2 linked regions of the Canis lupus familiaris genome follow. The protein of the gene in region 2 interacts with the protein of the main gene of each other region in a pairwise test. Links are inferred from orthologs where the notes say so. Each region holds a gene or a part of one and is shown on either strand. Other genes may lie near its edges. The genes, in order: ELK4 and SRF.

Evidence for each region.
Region 1: the proteins of SRF (region 2) and ELK4 interact in a two-hybrid assay, tested with the Homo sapiens proteins (2 studies listed by BioGRID and IntAct). The link is inferred for Canis lupus familiaris from reciprocal best matches to the Homo sapiens genes SRF and ELK4.

What each region holds. Positions count from the first base shown.
Region 1 is NC_049259.1:2,662,261-2,666,074, forward strand, and holds part of ELK4 (ETS domain-containing protein Elk-4), read right to left. Parts: coding exon 3,177-3,814; intron 1,837-3,176; coding exon 1,720-1,836; intron 1-1,719. UniProt on the Homo sapiens protein: Involved in both transcriptional activation and repression. Interaction with SIRT7 leads to recruitment and stabilization of SIRT7 at promoters, followed by deacetylation of histone H3 at 'Lys-18' (H3K18Ac) and subsequent transcription repression.
Region 2 is NC_049233.1:11,859,959-11,863,689, forward strand, and holds the end of SRF (serum response factor), read left to right. Parts: coding exon 1-8; intron 9-296; coding exon 297-373; intron 374-600; coding exon 601-696; 3' UTR 697-3,008; downstream 3,009-3,731. UniProt on the Homo sapiens protein: SRF is a transcription factor that binds to the serum response element (SRE), a short sequence of dyad symmetry located 300 bp to the 5' of the site of transcription initiation of some genes (such as FOS).

The sequences.
Region 1 (3,814 bases), on a different chromosome or scaffold from region 2:
TAAGGTATACAGCTTTACGTTTAACTTCACACAAATGTTTAGAAAGTTCATGCACTACAGAGTATAATTCAATTACAAAGCAAATCACAGACTGTCAAAAAGAGGTCCAGAAAGAGATGCCCATTCATTAACTCTATTTATAACTGATGCATAAATGCTCTGCTAGAACAGAACCCCCATCATGTGTTCTAAGATCAATTCTATAGGGAGAGTCCATGCTGAAACTGCATGAGCACTGTGCAGTTTAAGGTCTCAGATCACTCTAGAACTCAATTATCTGTGAGAAGCAAGGAAAAATGTAAAAAATAAACTATGAGACATTCTCAACACTATTCAATAATTCAGAACTTTTCGCAAAAAAAATGTAGAAGTAGAAAGATTTTTAATTTTTTCCTTCATTTTTTTTCCCAAAAGAACAAATAAAAAGTTAAATTGCAAGATATAAGGAAGTCTACCAGTAAGTGAATGAATCAACAAAACAAACTCTACAAGTTCTAAAGTCTAGATGCTTGGGCCAAAACACTGGTTAAAAGCTGTAAGACCTTCCCTATGATCTCGGTTAAAGGGTATACAATATCCTTTTTTAAATACATATTTAAAATGTTGATAAGGGCAGCCCTGGTGGCGCAGCGGTTTAGAGCCGCCTGCAGCCCAGGGTGTGATCCTGGGGACCCAGGATCAAGTCCCATGTCGGGCTCCCTGCATGGAGCCTGCTTCTCCCTCTGTCTGTGTCTCTGCCCCTCTCTCTCTCTGTGTCTCTATGAATAAATAAATAAAATCTTTAAAAATAAATAAATAAATAATACGTAAATAAAATCTTGATAAACATTAATTCTAAATGAGTGAGAAACAGAGTATTTGATATGCCATTCTCAAAAGTTTTCATTTTCAAAAATCCTCATGTAAAATAGACTTATAAAAGAGACTTATATGCACAAATTTTCACACACATATATGTATTTTTTTTTTCAAAAAAGAAAAAGAATTTCTAGCATTTAAAATGACAAAGAAATCAGGTGGTTTCGGGATCCCTGGGTGGCGCAGCGGTTTGGCGCCTGCCTTTGGCCCAGGGCGCGATCCTGGAGACCCGGGATCGAATCCCACATCGGGCTCCCGGTGCATGGAGCCTGCTTCTCCCTCGGCCTGTGTCTCTGCCTCTCTCTCTCTCTCTCTCTGTGACTATCATAAATAAATAAAAATTGAAGAAAAAAAAAAAAAAAGATTTAAAAAAAAAAAAAAAAGAAATCAGGTGGTTTCAAAATCTACTATAGTACTGAACAATTCTTGGTCTAACTGAAATGTATGTAACAGTAAAGAATGAAAAGGAAGCCGGGATCCCTGGGTGGCTCAGTGGTTTGGCACCTGCCTTGGGCTCAGAGCATGATCCTGGGGTCCCAGGATTGAGTCTCACATCGGGCTCCCTGAATGGAGCCTGCTTCTCCCTCTGCCTGTGTCTCTGCCTCTCTCTCTTTCTCTCTCTCTGTTTCTCATGAATAAATAAAATCTTAAAAAAAAAAAAAAAGGGAAAGGAAGCCTTGCTGTGAATATCTTTGGAACCGTCTGCTGACTGGAAAACTAACCAACTAACCCTTGGAAAGCATATTTATTAAACGCAAGTTTTATAATGATTAGACTAAAGAGTGAAGACACACTGCCTTTTGGCCTCTTTCTTCATGTGTCAGGCCCCAACTACAAGAGGCAAACTTAGAGGTGATTTACCTGGAAAAGTGTGTTAGCACCTTGCAGTCTGGCTGGACTCAGGGGAGCAACAGGGCTAAGAGTACTCCAGAAGTGGATGCTGGATAGCAGGGGGCTCGGCGTCAGTAAGATGGGAGTCTGCAATATGCAAAACAAAAATGATCACTAGGTGACTCGCCAGTTTTACATTTCAACCTCATAATAATATATCAATAGCCTTAAACCCAAATACTGTCCTCTTCTCCACTAAGGATCTCTGAAATTTTATCATGAGAAAAGTTCAGAAATTATTTTTACAACCTAAGAAATATAAATGGCAAAATATTTCTAATTTGTGTTTTGTAGGGTCTTTCCCAAATAGAGAAACCAATCTGGTCAAGGGCAGAGAAAGAACTGGTAACTAACTCACAAACACAGTTCTCCTTAGTAATGGGAGGTCTATTTAAATGTTATTGGGGTGAGGGGGAACACCTGAGTGGCTCAGCGGTTGAGCGTCTGGGCGTCTGCCTTCGGCTCAGGGCGTGACCCTGGAGTCCGGTCACTGAGTCCCACATCAGGCTCCCTGCATGGAGCCTGCTTTTCCCTCTGCCTGTGTCTCTGCCTCTTTGGGTCTCTCATGAATAAATAAATAAAGTCTTAAAAAAAAAATGCTACGGGTAGAGCCTACATGGCTCAGTCAATTAAGCATCCGACTCTTGATTTCAGCTCAGGTCATGACCTCAGGGTCCTGGGATCGAGCTCCATGCTGGACTCTGTGCTCAGCACTTTGGACTCTGCTCACTTTTTAAAAAGGGAGTGCACACCTTAGTTGGCTCAGTCAGTTAAGCGCCTGCCTTCAACTTGGGTCATGATCCTGGGGGGGCCTGGAATCAAGCCCTGCATCCCCTGCATCAGGCTCTCTGCTTGCATCAGGCTCTCTGCTTAGCAGGGAACCCGCTTCTCCCTCTTCCTCTGCCTGCTGCTCCCTCTGCTTTTGCTCTCTCTCTGTCAAATAAATAAAATCTTAAAAAAAAAAAAAAAAGATTCCCTTCCCACCCCTTCTCCCCCTCTCTTATATAAATAAATAAATAAATATTATAGGAGATGAGTAAGTTAAGAAATAACTAATATAACTCTACAAACTTGTTACTCAACATCACACCAGGAGGTTTTCTTAGGTTCTTGGGATTGTTTTCTAGCTTTTGATGTTATCACTATTTTTTTATAAGATACCATTGAGTTTTATAAGACCAAAAAGAGAGAGAGAATAGTTGGCTTTAGGAGGAAGTTGAAAAATATTTATTTGCTTGTAGAGACAACAGATTCTTCTACGATGCTACTCCAAACCTCTCACTGATTACGCAGGGAACTGGGTCACAGCCCACTTTTCTAAGACAGACCCAGGTAACAGCATGAGAACGTGAGGTTATAAATTCTGCATGTTTTAAAAGGTGAGTCAATGCAAACATCGGTGGCACTAAAAAGAAAGAGTCAGTTACCTGTGAGAAAAGCGCTGGTGTAAGAGAAGCTGTGGGGAGAGAGGGGCTCAGTATTCCCAGTGGACTTGGGTCACTACCGGTGATCACGAGGATGGGCGCCAGCTCTAACCCTTTGGGTTTCTTGGATCTTGAAGAATTGCTTGTTTTGTCCTTTTCCAGCAAGGCCGCATCCTGGTCTTTAGGCTCTAGTGACAAATTCTCTGGAAGCTCCATGGGCTGCGAAGCCACGGAATCGATGTCCGTGTCAACCTCGGGATTAGGACTCAGCGGCGGCGTGGGGGTCCTGGGGGGCTCCGGCACAGAGGGGGAAGCGGAGGAAATGGGGGGGGCGGCGAACGCGGCGGTGACACTGGCTGCAGAGGCCGGGGCTTCCAGGGAAGGCAGTTTGGGGGAAGCCAAAGTCTCCAATGCCTGGAGGGTTTCTTCTGAAGATGGAGAGATGCTGGGGCCGAGGGACGTGGCGGCAGCAAGAGGTTCACCCGGCAGCTTTTTGGAAGGGGTCGTTACGAATCTGATGACAGACGGAGTTGGCTCCGGAGGCGGCTTCTTCTCTGCCAGCTTCTCAGCTGGACTCTCAATCTTTATGGGTTTGAAAAGCTTCTTGTTGGAGGAGTTCAAAGAGTTGAGAGTGAAGGAAG
Region 2 (3,731 bases):
GGAGCAAGGTGAGTGGTGGGCTGGGGCTAAGGGGGACCATGTCCTCCTCCCTCACATACCCACATATCCAAATGGCCCCCCACATACACACATAGATATATACACTCATATACCCATACCCAAACAAGGATGCCCACACATAAAACTACACACACACACACACACACGGATGCTTGCACACACATTCCCACACCCATTGCTGTCCACTAGGATACTCATGCATTCCATTCCAACTAGTATCTGGAAGTTTCTCTTGAGCAAGCAGTTTGAGTATCTCCTGTGGTTTCCCAATGCAGGTGGTGTTCCCCAGGTGTTCCTGACAGCACCATCTGGGACAGTGCAGATCCCTGTTTCTGCAGTTCAGCTTCACCAGGTAGGTGTGGGGGCACCCTTCACCTCACCTCAGCCAACCCAGCCATTTCCTTCTCTTGACTTTGGGGATTTCATTTACCCATTGGTCTAAGCCAAGATTCCCTAAGCCAGGAGGCCCATCTGTTTTCCCAGTCAGGCTCGTGGTGGACAGGCAGGCCAGCAGGGGGAAGCTTGAGCTGGCTGGTCAGTTCCTGCCCTCCTTTTCCTTACACACCCCCTTCCCTCCAGATGGCTGTGATAGGGCAGCAGGCTGGGAGCAGCAGCAACCTCACCGAGTTACAGGTGGTGAACCTGGACGCCGCCCACAGCACCAAGAGTGACTGATCCGCCCTGCCACCCTGGACAGATGGCCCAAGGGATGGCACCACTTATTTATTGTTGCCTTTTCACGTTTTCTTTACACACACGTTGACGGGCCGCAGGAGGGAGGCAGGGAGGAGGAGTGGGCAGCCACAGGACTGAGCCCTCTCACTCCAGCCAAAGAAATGGGCCAGCCTGCCCTCCACCCCATCCTCCCTCCCCCTCCCCTCCTTCTGGCTCCACCTCCCATTTTCTGTTGATGGTGGGGCTGTCCTCCCTCCTCAGACTCCCCTAGCCAGCTTGGCTCCATGTTTGCCATGAGTATTAGCTTATCCAATGGGACCGTGCCCCACCTTCCCACACACAGGCCTCTGTGGGACTAGGCACCGTGTTCCCCCGAGGAAGCAGTGGGGGTCCTCTCCCAGCCTCCTTGCTGACCTGCTGTCAGCACCGTGTCTGTCACAGGCTGGGTGACAAGAGCCCTATCCGTGCCCCTCAGGGAGCCACCTGGGGAGATGGGGCTTCTTCCCTCACAGGATGCCCTATTGTCCCTGTAGCTCCTGAGAGCTGGGCCTGTGCACAGAGCAGGTTCCTGGGGCCACCTGCCCTGCCCTGCCGGTCCCCTTGGGACTCCAGGAACTCCTGGGTCGGAGGGAACTGCCAGTGTTCCCTCTCACCCTGTCTTCCCCCTCTCCCCCCAGCTGCTTTACTTAAAAGTTGATTTTGAACTTTTTATTTGAGGAGACGAAGTGAAAACAAATCTATAAATATATATTTTTAAAATATTTAAACTTTTTTTTATGGCGTGTTTCTCGTCCCCCTCCCTGCCCAAGCTCCCCTTCCCTGGGGAGCCCTGGGGCTCCCCGGAACTGACTGGGCCTCTGGGGACGGAACCACCCCATGAGCTCGGGGCCCCGCCAGTGTGTAGGGGAGATTCTGGGACTGCCCGGTCCTGGGTTGTTGCCAGGAGAAAACCGGGGGAGGGGCCCTCAGGCCATGCCCCAACGGGGTGGGCAGGGTGACCTGCAGCCCTGGGTCTCTTTTTGCCCTCTAGGGCTGTCGCAAGGGAGAGGGAAGAGGGAGACCAAATGTGGGGGTGGGGGTGGGAGGGTGTCAGGTAGAGGCAACTGACTTCATTTGTGCCACACGCATGGGCATTGCAGCCTTGTGCTCCCCCAGGCCTGCAGCCGCCTGGGGCCCAAGTTGCAGTGAGCAGGGTGGGGTCTGGGAGGGGTTGAGAGGCAGGAATGGGGGTCAGAAGAAACGGGAGCAGCTCTTGGGCTGAATATAAAGATAGGGGAGCCAGAAATGGGCAGCTCTCCCAGGGAGTGAGCAGCTACTGTAACTTTTTTAAATTAAGACAAAAAGCCTTGAAGAAAATGACTTTATTTTTCTAAGTGTAACCTCAGTATTTATGTAATTTGTACAGGGGCCGTGCCCTACCCCACTCTGCCCCCTTTGGGGTAGACCTTGAGGATGGGCCAGCATAGGGGGAGGGTCTTTTACCCCGTGTCAGAGCCTACCTTCACCCCCTTTATCCAGAAAGGGAGCTTTTTCAGAACAGGGCAGCAGTTGGGGTAGAGTTTTATTAACCCCTGTGACTGCCTTCAGGAGGAACAATCCTGCTTCTGTGATTAGGTGAAGGGGTGGGGGAAGTTTGTGCGCACAGCCTAGTTATCAAGGGGATGATTTGCCGATGTGTCTGAGAACCCCCATAACCTCTAACCCCCATTGCTGTCTTGCCCCGATTTGGGGTGCCGAGATGGAAGTCACCGTTCTGGGCTTTCTCCTGGAGATAGCTGGGGGTTATGGGTGGCTTACAAGGCTGGGGCATGGCAAATCAGGGGCCAGAGAGTGGGGAGCTTGGGACTCAGGTCTGTAACTGCCCAGCCCCCTTTCTCTGCTCTTGTTTCACTCCACCATCACTCACTCACTCTCCACTCCCCCACCCAGGGGAGGAGACTGATGAATTCCTCCTCTCTTTCCCACAAAAGACAGACCCAGTGAGTGAATCAGGCAAAGTGCTTATAATGTGTGTTGTGTGAGCGTGGCCTTGGGAGAACATGTGTGCGTCAGGGATGAGGTGGCATTTATATGTGCAGCAACCCTTGGTATTTCCCTTTCTTGGTGGCTCTGGAGTGTGTGTGTGCGTGTGTGTGTGTGCGCGCGTGCGTGTGCCTGAGTGTGTGTGTGTGAATGGAGTATGTCAGTGGTTTCTACTTCCCCTGGGATGCTGACCCAGGAATAGTGGACATGGTCACAGTCCTATGTACAGAGCTTTCTTTTGTATTAAAAAAAAATACTCTTTCAATAAATGTATCATTTTTGTGCACAGACTGTGGAGTCTTTGCCTCCGTTTTTCCGCATAGAGAGGGAGGGAGGGAGGGAGGGAGGGAAGTATGAACGCGAACCAACCTCCAGCCGCTGCTCTGAGAAGCAAACCTGGCCGCCTGATGAGAACAATGGCAAGGCCAAGGGGCACTCTGGGCTGTGGAACTCTGCAACTTAATTGAAGGAACATTTCTGGGAGCTGGGGCCTTTGTCTTTGCGCAGGACTTTGTTAGCTTTCTAGGCCAACACAGAGAGGAGCAATTTTAATCAATAGGAAAAGTGATTCCACCAATCCAAAGCACGGCTGTAGGGTTTGGGAAACTCATGGCCACGTGACCCGGTGAGAACTCAGGACAGCTTCGGGGTTGGAAGTGTAGGTTTCAGGGGGACCGGGCAGGCCGACCCAGGAAACGCGAGCGGGCCTTCCAGGTGATGGAGGGAAAGGGCTGCGTACTTCTGCGGCAAGGAGCGACGTGACCGTGAGCGCGGGCTCCGCCTGCCGCGCGCCCCGCGCGCAGCGCCGCGGCCACTGCGCATGCTCCACCCGCGCGCCCTTCCGCCTCGCTCGGCTGTGGGCCGCGGGGGCCCCCGTAGGAGCCGGGCCGCGCCCGCCCGTGCCGTGTGACCCGGAAGGGAGCTGCTGAGGAGGCGGGGCCAGGACGGCGGGACCGGCCGCTGGCTCCCAGCGAGGGAGCCGGGCAGTGGGAGGTGAGAGGAGAGTCCTGCGG